Drosophila melanogaster: one gene and its partner. The protein of the gene in region 2 interacts with the protein of the main gene of each other region in a biochemical or structural test. Each region holds a gene or a part of one and is shown on either strand. Other genes may lie near its edges. The genes, in order: msn and Tao.

The links.
Region 1: of the proteins of Tao (region 2) and msn, one has a biochemical effect on the other in vitro, tested with the Drosophila melanogaster proteins (one study listed by BioGRID).

Annotation. Positions count from the first base shown.
Region 1 is NT_037436.4:2,583,235-2,588,502, forward strand, and holds the start of msn (misshapen), read right to left. Parts: upstream 3,307-5,268; 5' UTR 3,169-3,306; exon of another isoform or gene 3,032-3,168; intron 3,021-3,031; exon of another isoform or gene 2,803-3,020; intron 2,505-2,802; 5' UTR 2,449-2,504; coding exon 2,371-2,448; intron 1-2,370. Other genes in the region: RpL8 (ribosomal protein L8), read left to right, coding at 4,519-4,656, 4,850-5,268.
Region 2 is NC_004354.4:19,576,495-19,581,407, forward strand, and holds the start of Tao (Tao), read right to left. Parts: upstream 3,307-4,913; 5' UTR 2,904-3,306; intron 2,009-2,903; exon of another isoform or gene 1,408-2,008; intron 1,101-1,407; 5' UTR 1,001-1,100; coding exon 771-1,000; intron 706-770; coding exon 201-705; intron 1-200. Other genes in the region: CG14218 (uncharacterized protein), read right to left, coding at 4,052-4,440, 4,502-4,913. UniProt on the Drosophila melanogaster protein: Serine/threonine-protein kinase which regulates the Hippo/SWH (Sav/Wts/Hpo) signaling pathway, a signaling pathway that plays a pivotal role in organ size control and tumor suppression by restricting proliferation and promoting apoptosis.

The DNA of each region.
Region 1 (5,268 bases), on a different chromosome or scaffold from region 2:
ACATGCGAGTGAAATACACATAAAGAAGTGGAAGCCACACCAAAATGAAGACGAACCGCGTTTGAATGCTTATCAGTGGAGAATAAAAGAAACTGCACCAAATACAAATAAATGGGGAGTCGTAAAAACCAGAAATAATTAATGAAATTTGTGCTGATGAATGCAGCTTGTGGTATCTTATCAGACACAAGGAGTGGAGGGGAGTGGAGTTCTTATCGAGTGAACAGAAACCAGAACGGAAGCCTAACAAAGCGAGCCAGTTTCGAGAGAAAGAACCTTAGCTTTAAGGACTCTGACCTTTTGTCGTTTTCTATTTCGGGACATTCCACAGCTATCGCATCTCTCTTCTCTCGGCCATTGTGTTTAATGACCTTTAAAAGCCACGCACAGACAGGTCACCGGAATATGGCAGACATGCAGGCGAGGGGCCGCCCACGTCCACGCCCACTTTAGCGCCCCTCACCGAGAGGAGAAGGCCAAACAGAAATAAAACAAAAATAAAAACAACACTTCAAACAAGACACACATCACAATTCATGATTCTCATGCCTGCTGCCATTTTTGCTGATTTTGCTTTGGGTTCGTCGCCGCTTTTCTTGGCAGCCGGTGTTGTGTGTGTGCCCCATCTTAATCATCGTTTTCATCATCATTATCATTTGAGTCCACATTATCGCCATCTTCAAGCTGTCTGCTGCAGCGCAGATACAAACACACACAGCGATTCAGATACATGCGACTCGCATAGATACAAAAGCACGCATGGTGTTGCTCTGCTCGCTTCTGCCTGCCGCCTTTTAATAAAGTAAACTAAACAATTTTCATTCTTGTCTCGTTTTTGTCTCGTCTTCGTCGCTCTGCATCGACTATGAACAATTTTTCATAAACACACACGGGTTAACAGTTGGGGCTACAATAATAGTGCCTGCGGAGCCTCGTTCTACTCAAAAGAACTGTGAATATAAGTCAATCGGCAATGAGCCTTTAATCCGAAAAATACACTTGTTTGTATATGTATATTTTCATGTATACGAACAAACAAGTAATATTATCCGTACGAAAGCCAACTAAAACTCTTCCCAAACTAATGCTGTGATCTCTTAAATTTGACTCCAGATTTTTAGTGCTAACTTAATTTATAGAACTTCACGGAACATCCCTTTTTTAAGGCCGCCTTAAAGCCTATTATTTTGGCCTCATCTGTGGGTGAAGCACACACACAACCACAGCGGCGCACATGCCGTAGCAGCGAGGCGACGACCCAAGCACCACCACCAGCCCACTCCACATTGACCCCCCCCCCACCACCCACCACATCCAGGCAGAGTCAACAAACGGACACTCACACACACACTTGTGCCAAACTGAACTTTCGGTGGGTGCGCAAAGCAAAAGAGATGGCGCCCAACGTGGGGCCGGCGGGCGTGGTGAGTTCCGTTCCGCCACCAAAAGTGCTGAGAGTGGTGAATGTTTGGTGAAAGAGAAAGGCAACAAACGCATGCGGCAGTGCGTGCGGCCACAGGGGGGTTAAAGGGGGGTGCTAAGGCGGCCGAAAGGGGGTTAAGACTCGACAAATTCATTGAGAAACGAAGCGAAACAAAAAATAGCTTGGCAAAGCGGAGAAGGTGGCACCGGCCGGTCAAAAGTTGCGCACACCACTCTCACATTCAAAACTTACAGGGTGGGTGGTGCCAAGTTGGGTGGTTTTTTGTCAGGCAATGAAATCGAAATGTCAATGTGCAGTTATCAACTCGATTATTATTGTGATTGCTTCGAGGGGGAGAACGGAAATCCAGAAAAAAAAACCTTTTTTCGTTGCCATGGCAAAGTGCAAAAAAGGAAGAACACAAAGAAAAAGAACTCGCTTTTGTTGTACTTTTAAACAATTTGCATAAATGTGCGGGGGAAACCTTCGAGGGTTTGACGACTGGAAAGGCCAATCGAGTTGGGTAAGATATTGTGGGGTATTTTTGGAACCAAGTTCTGAGTAAAGGGGCTTCTTTGCGAATTGCAGGAATATAAAATAAAAAATTCATCATAATATCAAAAAAAAAGAATTCGTATTGGTTGCATCTCGGTATATTTTACATCTTTTTGAAACTAATCGATTGTGAAACCTTTCAGATAGTGTAAATAGTTTGTGAAATCGAACTAACAAATAACGAACGGAAATTGGAGTGTAAACGACCACACCTGGGAAAATAATCACGGGGCGGTCACTTTCCCGTTAATCGGGCGAGGCTTGTTAATGAATATAGCTGATGGGGAGGGGGCAATGTGGGGGCTCTATTTTCGGGGGGCTCTGCTGCTGGTTCTATTTCTAGTCGTATTCCATTTCCATTCGAGATGGATAACCGCAGCTTATTGACTCACTTTTAGGGCCGTCAGATCGATATCGTCCAGTGAACAGTTGACCGATGGAGCCAGTTGTTGTTGCTGCTGGTGCGCCATTTTGATTTGCTATTTTATTTTGTTCTTCTGGATCTGGAGAATTGCTGCTGCTGATTCTTCGCACGCAGAAAGAGGTGGAGAGAGGAGAAATGCAAATAAGACGGTGAACGGGGGGAGGGGACAAAACAACGGGGAGAGAAATAGAGTGGAGAAGGAGCGGCCGCAGGACTTTACTGCGATTTTAGATTTATACGCACTTTACCGCGATTTAAGATTTATACGCTCTAAATGACAAATGCCACAATAAAAAACCCGTGCAATTAACAAACTATTTGTTGCTGTCATACAACTTTTCTCTTTTCGCTTCTCCGCTCTTCTTCTCGCTCTCTGTCTCTCTCCATCTCTCTTTCTCACTGCTCTGGCTCTGCGTGCGTATGTGTGTTTTGTGACGGAGTGTTTGTGTGTGTTAGTTAACGTTTGGCAAACGGGGCGCGGCTCTTTTAATTCCCCAGCACTTTATAAAATCTTTTCTCGCCCTTAAACCATTTATTTATCACTGCCGATTCATCTGCTACTTCGCACACACTGCACAATTTCAATATTTTTTTTGCGGCGCTCCGATGGACCAGCCTCACACACACACCCACACCAGTGCAGTAGCCTGCGTATGTGTTTGTGTAGGTAGACAGAAAAAATCTGCCACTCGCTTTTTCCTCCCGATTGCGTTTTGCGTTCTCGCGCAGGACTCGCGATTTTCACTGGCGCACCGCGAATACGTACTCTTCACGCACAGCGATGGGCGCCTATCGCCTTTGCATCGCACAACCAGCTGAACAGTTCAATTTCCCAACTTCAGTGAAAATCAGAACGGTTTTCCGTTTTACGCGACGCCAAAACCCCGACGGATTCCAACAGTGTGACCAATTAGCCGATGGCAGCTTATTCCATCGCGAACTGAAAAATACCCCGCGATTACCGTTCTCATTTCTGCGCACATACCGCAAACATATCGAGCCGTAAAAGGCCAATTCGTGTGCCCGTATATTCTTCTCTTTCAGAATAGCAAATTAACAAATTTGCAACTGTAATCAATAAATTAGATTATAGACATTTACTAATTCCAATTAGAAAAAAGAGGCTGGGAAAATAAAAAATATTAACATATTTAATATTTTATTTCATAGGGTAACACAAATCGTTGAGTCATTTCCTATTAAAGTTATATAATAATCAGAATTGGAATATAAGAATAAGATATGTATGGTCGAAGATTAGATGTGTTAAATAAAGACGTCTAAAAATGTACGCCAGTGGAACGCATAGCATAGTCCAAAATATCTTTCGGCTTCGGAATATTTCCACTGGTTTCTTTTCACTCTCTATTTTATTTCTGATTGGGTCGCCTTTTTCACTTCTCATCCAATTGGCAAGTGCTCGACACAACTTTCCAGCTCAACTCGAATTATTCATACATCTAATTGAATTATTATATACATATATAAAATCGATTAACTTATATTAAAATTATCCAGTTTAGAAACGTTTCGATTAGGTAAAGCAGATTTCAGCGAAATTGACCTTGCGAAGATTGAAATCAAACCAAATTTTCTGGGCAAGTGAGCTACTGATTAGTAAAACTTCCGAAAACTGAATTTGAAGATTTAATATGATAAATTTTATTATTTTATTTATTATTATTAGCAAATTAACAATTTCGCGAATACCCAAAATAGCAGTGAGAAACAGCTCTTTCCCCAGCAGCACGTTAGTCACGACGCCAGACGCCAAACACAGCCACACTATTCCCTGCCCACCTCTAGGATGTCTTCCTCTTTTCTTTTCTTTTCGCCCCGTTTCCGGAGTGGTCGTATTGGGCAATTTTAATTTTACGGTAAGCCACGTGCTAAATTTTGTAAATTTGGTGGTGTTTTCAATTGCGGAAATTGTTTACAGTGCGCAATTTAACATTATAACCGTGTAACATGGAATATTTCAATTTTCCGTCAAAATATTCGAATAAGATCGAAATTCCGTAGCGTGTTGCATTGAAGATGGCCATCTTATTTAGTGAAACCGCCGCATTTGCAATATGGAGTTCGAGTACTAATCCCGTGAATTTGTCTTGCAGCAATGGGTCGCGTTATTCGTGCACAGCGTAAGGGAGCTGGTTCCGTGTTCAAGGCGCACGTGAAGAAGCGCAAGGGAGCCGCCAAGCTGCGTTCCCTGGACTTCGCCGAGCGTTCCGGCTACATCCGCGGAGTTGTCAAGGTGAGTAACGTGCTCCTAGGATCACCAACTACACCTATCCGTTTAATGTGGATGAGATCACTTGCATTTGGCCATGCCACATTCAAGAGACGTGCTTGAGCACCTGTGCCAGCTTACTAGAAGTTACTTAGCTCACTTGGCTTAACTGCTTTTGAAGTGTAACTAAGCGAATCGTACTTCTTCCATGTTTCAGGACATCATCCACGATCCCGGCCGTGGCGCTCCTCTGGCCGTCGTCCACTTCCGCGACCCCTACCGCTACAAGATCCGCAAGGAGCTGTTCATCGCCCCCGAGGGCATGCACACCGGCCAGTTCGTGTACTGCGGCCGCAAGGCCACCCTTCAGATCGGCAACGTGATGCCCCTCAGCCAGATGCCCGAGGGTACCATCATCTGCAACCTGGAGGAGAAGACCGGTGATCGCGGCCGTTTGGCCCGCACCTCTGGCAACTACGCCACCGTGATTGCCCACAACCAGGACACCAAGAAGACGCGTGTCAAGCTGCCATCCGGCGCCAAGAAGGTCGTGCCCTCGGCCAACCGCGCCATGGTTGGCATCGTCGCCGGCGGCGGTCGTATCGACAAGCCCATCCTGAAGGCCGGTCGTGCCTA
Region 2 (4,913 bases):
AAACACTTTTTTAAGCAGAATCTGGAGGCTCTACTATACAAATGGGTAAAATATAACTTGCCCCAGCCCCAAAAGTGGGAAATAAAACAATAACACTAGGGACACATGAGAGCGATACGTAAATAAATACATTGGCATACTTCAGTTTTGCTATCAAAACAGACTCCTACCAAGAAATTAAAACTTCGATTGCTACTCACCGGAAGAGTCGGCGACTCATTCTGCGCAATGTGGTAGAGCGCCGACATGGCGTTCATGTTAAAGTAGGGAGGCTTGCGCTCTGCCAGTTCGATGCAGGTGATGCCCAGCGACCACACGTCCACCTTGCCGTCGTATTGGCCCTCGTCCATGGCCAGGATCACCTCGGGCGCCATCCAATAGGGCGTGCCGACAAAACTGTTGGCCGGACACTTGATGGCAGCGCTACCGAAATCGGCCAGCTTGACGACGCCGTTGTCCGTGAGCAGGATGTTGCCCGCCTTGATGTCACGGTGGATGCGGCCCAGCGAGTGCAGATAGCTCAACCCACTGAGCACGCCCAGACAGATGGCGGCGATCTCGTCCTCGTGCAGCGGCTTCTTGTGCACCTCGATGATGTCCGAGGCGGAGCCCACGCAGTACTCCATCACCAGCCAGGCGGTTGATTCGCGCAAATAGCATCCCTTGTATTCTATGGTGTTCGGGTGGTTCAATTGGCGAAGGAAGCTGTTGTGTACACATAAATTGATTAGAAGTCACTCGGGCGAACGCAAGTGTCAGCCAGTGCTCACCGTATCTCTTTGAGAATATCCTGCCACTTCTCCTGGCTCTGCTTGCCGGTGTACGACATCTTTTTGATGGCCACGATCTCCCTGGTGAGGTTGCATCGCGCATAATAGACCGCGCCGAAAGACCCATGGCCGATTTCGCGCAGGTCCTCGAAGATTTTCTCCGGGTCATGCTTGTTGAATAGGTCGGCTATTTCCGGATCCTTGAGACTACCAGGTCGTGCCGAAGGCATGGCTGTCTTTCATGCTCTAGCCCAGCTCTCTCAGTGGTCGACCTGCGTGCTTCTCCTCGCAGCTTGCAGCTCCAGCTGGCTACTCTGCTGTCTTGAAGTTCTGTGCGGATCGGGTGGGGCGAAAAAAAGGCGATTCCGGTTAGTCAGTCACATTCACAGCCTGCGCCAGTCACTTAGTCATGTTCAAAGGGTCGACATTTTTGGGGGATTTCAGGCTGAAACGCTGAGACTGCGGACCAATTGAATTGGGCGGCACGGGGCGTAGCGGGAATGGCTGGGCCAGTGGACAGTGGGCACTGTGCTTTGGTCAGCATTTGCATGGGGAGACGGTCAAACGGACGGACGGATGGGAACAGCTAAAAGCCGACTATCATCAAATCGATCAAGTGATTCATGCTCGCACATACTGTACGAATCATTCAAAACTCCGAATTCCGCACGCAGCACGGCCTTATCGCAAATATATTCACTGTTGGCACCGTCTTTTATGGCCAGGCTATTTTCCTCAGCTTGTTACCAACTTGTCAGCTGCTTTTTGGCCAGATTACGACAGCTGGGGTGTAAGTGGTCTAGGGCATTTGGCAGTCGGTATGACTAACGCCGTTAAGTTCATTTGCTTGGATTTCGAACAAGTAATGAGTGGAGTGGATGCGCACGTGCAGTAGGGCGGTATTTGTGGTCAAGCTGGACTAACTAGCTAGGTGTAGGGTATGCACACGTGCTGCAGGGTAATCAAAGGTCGTTACGACTGACACACAAACACACGCGAGCTGCCAAGGAGTAACGGCACCAAAGGGGTGCATTTATCGCCGTTGCGAATCCAAATACACACACACACATGCATACATTGGAGTATGCATGTCTGTGCATGCGGAGGCGTTTTGCGGGCGTCTGCGGATATCCGCCGGCTAAAGACGCGGATTTTGGCCCCCGTCGGAGCTCCGGCTTTCGCCTATCGCCGCCTGGCAAAAATTCTCAATACAATTAGTCCGCTGTGGTGCGGCGACTGCAATTCTTTGCCTGCGACGCGAAACAGAAACACGCCTATTTTTCATAGCCACCACACTATTGCACAAAGAGCAGCCATGTCGCTCACACACACTCACGCGCGCGCTCTATATGTATATGTGCGGTGGGATTGCTTGTTGTTTTGCATTTCGGGCGACACAAATTCAATTCAATTCGTGCCTTTTCCGTGGCTTGCACTGTGCTGTGGCGCTCCGTCACAGGGAATTGTAGTAGAATACCAAAGAGTTCTGCGATTCGAATTGATTTTCAGTTGGGTTGGCTTTTCCTTGGGTGCGGACTAGGCACACACCGAAGGAGCCGAAAAAGAACGCACGAAGGCGGTGATGCTGCGCCAGTTGTTGGTTTTCTTCGTTGACTGACCACTTATTGACTGATTACCATGGTTGATCTATGTGTTGCGATTAAAATTGGCTTATTTCGCTGCATTTTGCAACTGTTTTGAATCGCCTAATTTTGTTTTGCTTGCACACACACACACTCACGCTCGTCGGGGGAGCAGACAAATACACACACATTCGTATGGTTCGACTGGTGCTATCCCGTTCTCGCGCGTTGAGGGAGTCGTCGCACCGAAATCAGATGTAGCACTCAGAACCCGCAAATGCGCTGTATTTGATTGAAATTTGTGGGATCAATGATAATACCACATTGTTAATTCAATGGGCAGATGGCACACAAGAAATTCGCATTTATTGGCCAAAACGCAAACGCGAAAAAGAACAGTATGCACATACACACACGTACACGAGCATACGCATTCACACACACAGGCACACACGCACACAGGGATGGAGAGACAGTGGAAAATGCATAAATCTGGCGAGGCGAAAAAGAAAAAACGTTTGAACTTTTTCCACTGCGTTCGAGGGCTTACATTTGGCAATCAATTAGTGCTTGCTTGTTTATCGGCGCAACTGGGTCTCGCTTTTCGCATCTGTATGCATTTTTCCCTTTCATACGTCGCTTTCCCTACGACCGCTGCTGCTGTTATTGGCCCTGCTGCGACTGGGAACGGGAATCGGAATGGGACTGGTAGTGGTAGTGATACTGCTACTGGGAATGGCAACTATTGCCCTGCACTGCACACGCGTTGCGTTCACGAATCCGCACTGGCTACACATCTCGAGTGCCAAGCACCGAATTCGGGGGATCGTTACGTCGCAGATGCACCCATCTACGGCATGGAAAATTGGCAGCGATTGTCTATTTGCAACTTTTCTTCACCCGTTTCTCTAATTAAATTCCGTAAAGTTCACGTTCACACAGCACACAGTGTTACCAGATCAGCCGAGCGGCTTGAAACCAAAAACTACCACTGACCGCTTTTTACTAAAAAATCCCGATTTTAGGCGATATATTTAAAATTAACTTATTTTTTTCAATATGTTTGCGAAGTTAACTCTTGCAGAGGCGTTTTTATAGTTGAATTCGCTCAATTCAATTAGTTTTAAGAGAAAAGGTTCGTTTTTTGGTCTCTATCGATAGTCTATCGAACGTGCACCGGGTGGTGATGTCCGTGGTTACGCTATCGTTTTGGAATTATTAGTTTTTTTTTTTAATGTTTGAAAATCAATAATTTAACTTATACAGAATTCTGCAGAATTACAGCTCACGAAATCGCAGTTGGGTATCTATGTTAGAAGAACACATATATGTATCAAATTTTTAATAACTTTTTAATAGCTCAGTTCGCTAAGTCAAATACCGATACTCATCGCAACAAGTTTGGCGCACTTTTTGAAAACATACTGATAATTTCATGATACGGTATTTACTTAGCTATTTAACGCCCTCCTAGTTAATATAAATTACGGGGAACTTACATTATTACTTTATTTGATATGTTATTTACAACTATGCAAACTGGGAATACAAAAAAATGGATGCTTATATTTAAAATAGTTTATGTTCAATTTTAAGCACACTGCAACACATAAGCTATACATATGTACATACACATAATATATCAAGCTGCGAAGTTAATTTTATTGCCCACGTTGGAAAAATGAGAAACTCTACCGCTTAATTATAGAAGTACTGCTGCTGATTGAAAGTTGGGAAGCGATTCGTGTTGCCAAGCTCGAGGGGCGGGAAGTAGCCTTGGGATGATGCGGGAATACCAGAAGCACCCGCTGAACCCTGATCCTGACCCCCATCCTGACCCGCATCCTGAGCCCGCTGTCCAGCAAACGGCTGCCCAAAGTCGTCATCGCTCTCGTAGTTGACCAAAAATCGCGAAGCACTTGGTGGGGGAGAAGCAGGTTGGGAGTCAGGCCCATCTGCAGTGACAGGAAATGCAGCCGCATCCGGATCGGCAACTGAGTCCGGGTCCTGGGAGTCAACTAAGTCTCCGCTGTCTGGGTCAGCCGCCGCCGTCGCCTCCGCCACGGCTCGCGACCTAAAGAAGGTATCTGCAAAGTGTCGGAGAGAACCCAATTGTACGGCAGTTAGTTAAGAGGTTTCGTATTTTACCAGTAGGTTGTGCGTACTGATAGATAAGGCGGTCGCCCAGCTGGGCGGGACGCCGCTGTTGAGGATCGGGCTGCTGGGGTCGTGGGCGCGGCCGTGGCCTTGGGCGTGGCGGAGCTGTGGGCGGCGGCGGAGGAGGTGGAGGCGGTGGAGGTTCAGCTGGCGCCGCTGGCTGCGCATCATAGTCATAGTCGTAGTCATAGTTCGGCGGAGGAGGCGGTGCCAGTGTCGTTGGGCGTGGACGTGGTCGCACCTGCGGTCGGACGCGTCTAGGTGGCTGTGTAGTGGGCGGCGCAGGCGCTGGAGGTCGTGGTGCCGGAGGATCAGCGTAGTCCACATCGAAGGCCCCGGGCAGGAAACCGGAACTGAAGAACGGATGCCAGATGGGCTTACGAATGCGTATCGGAGCAGGTGG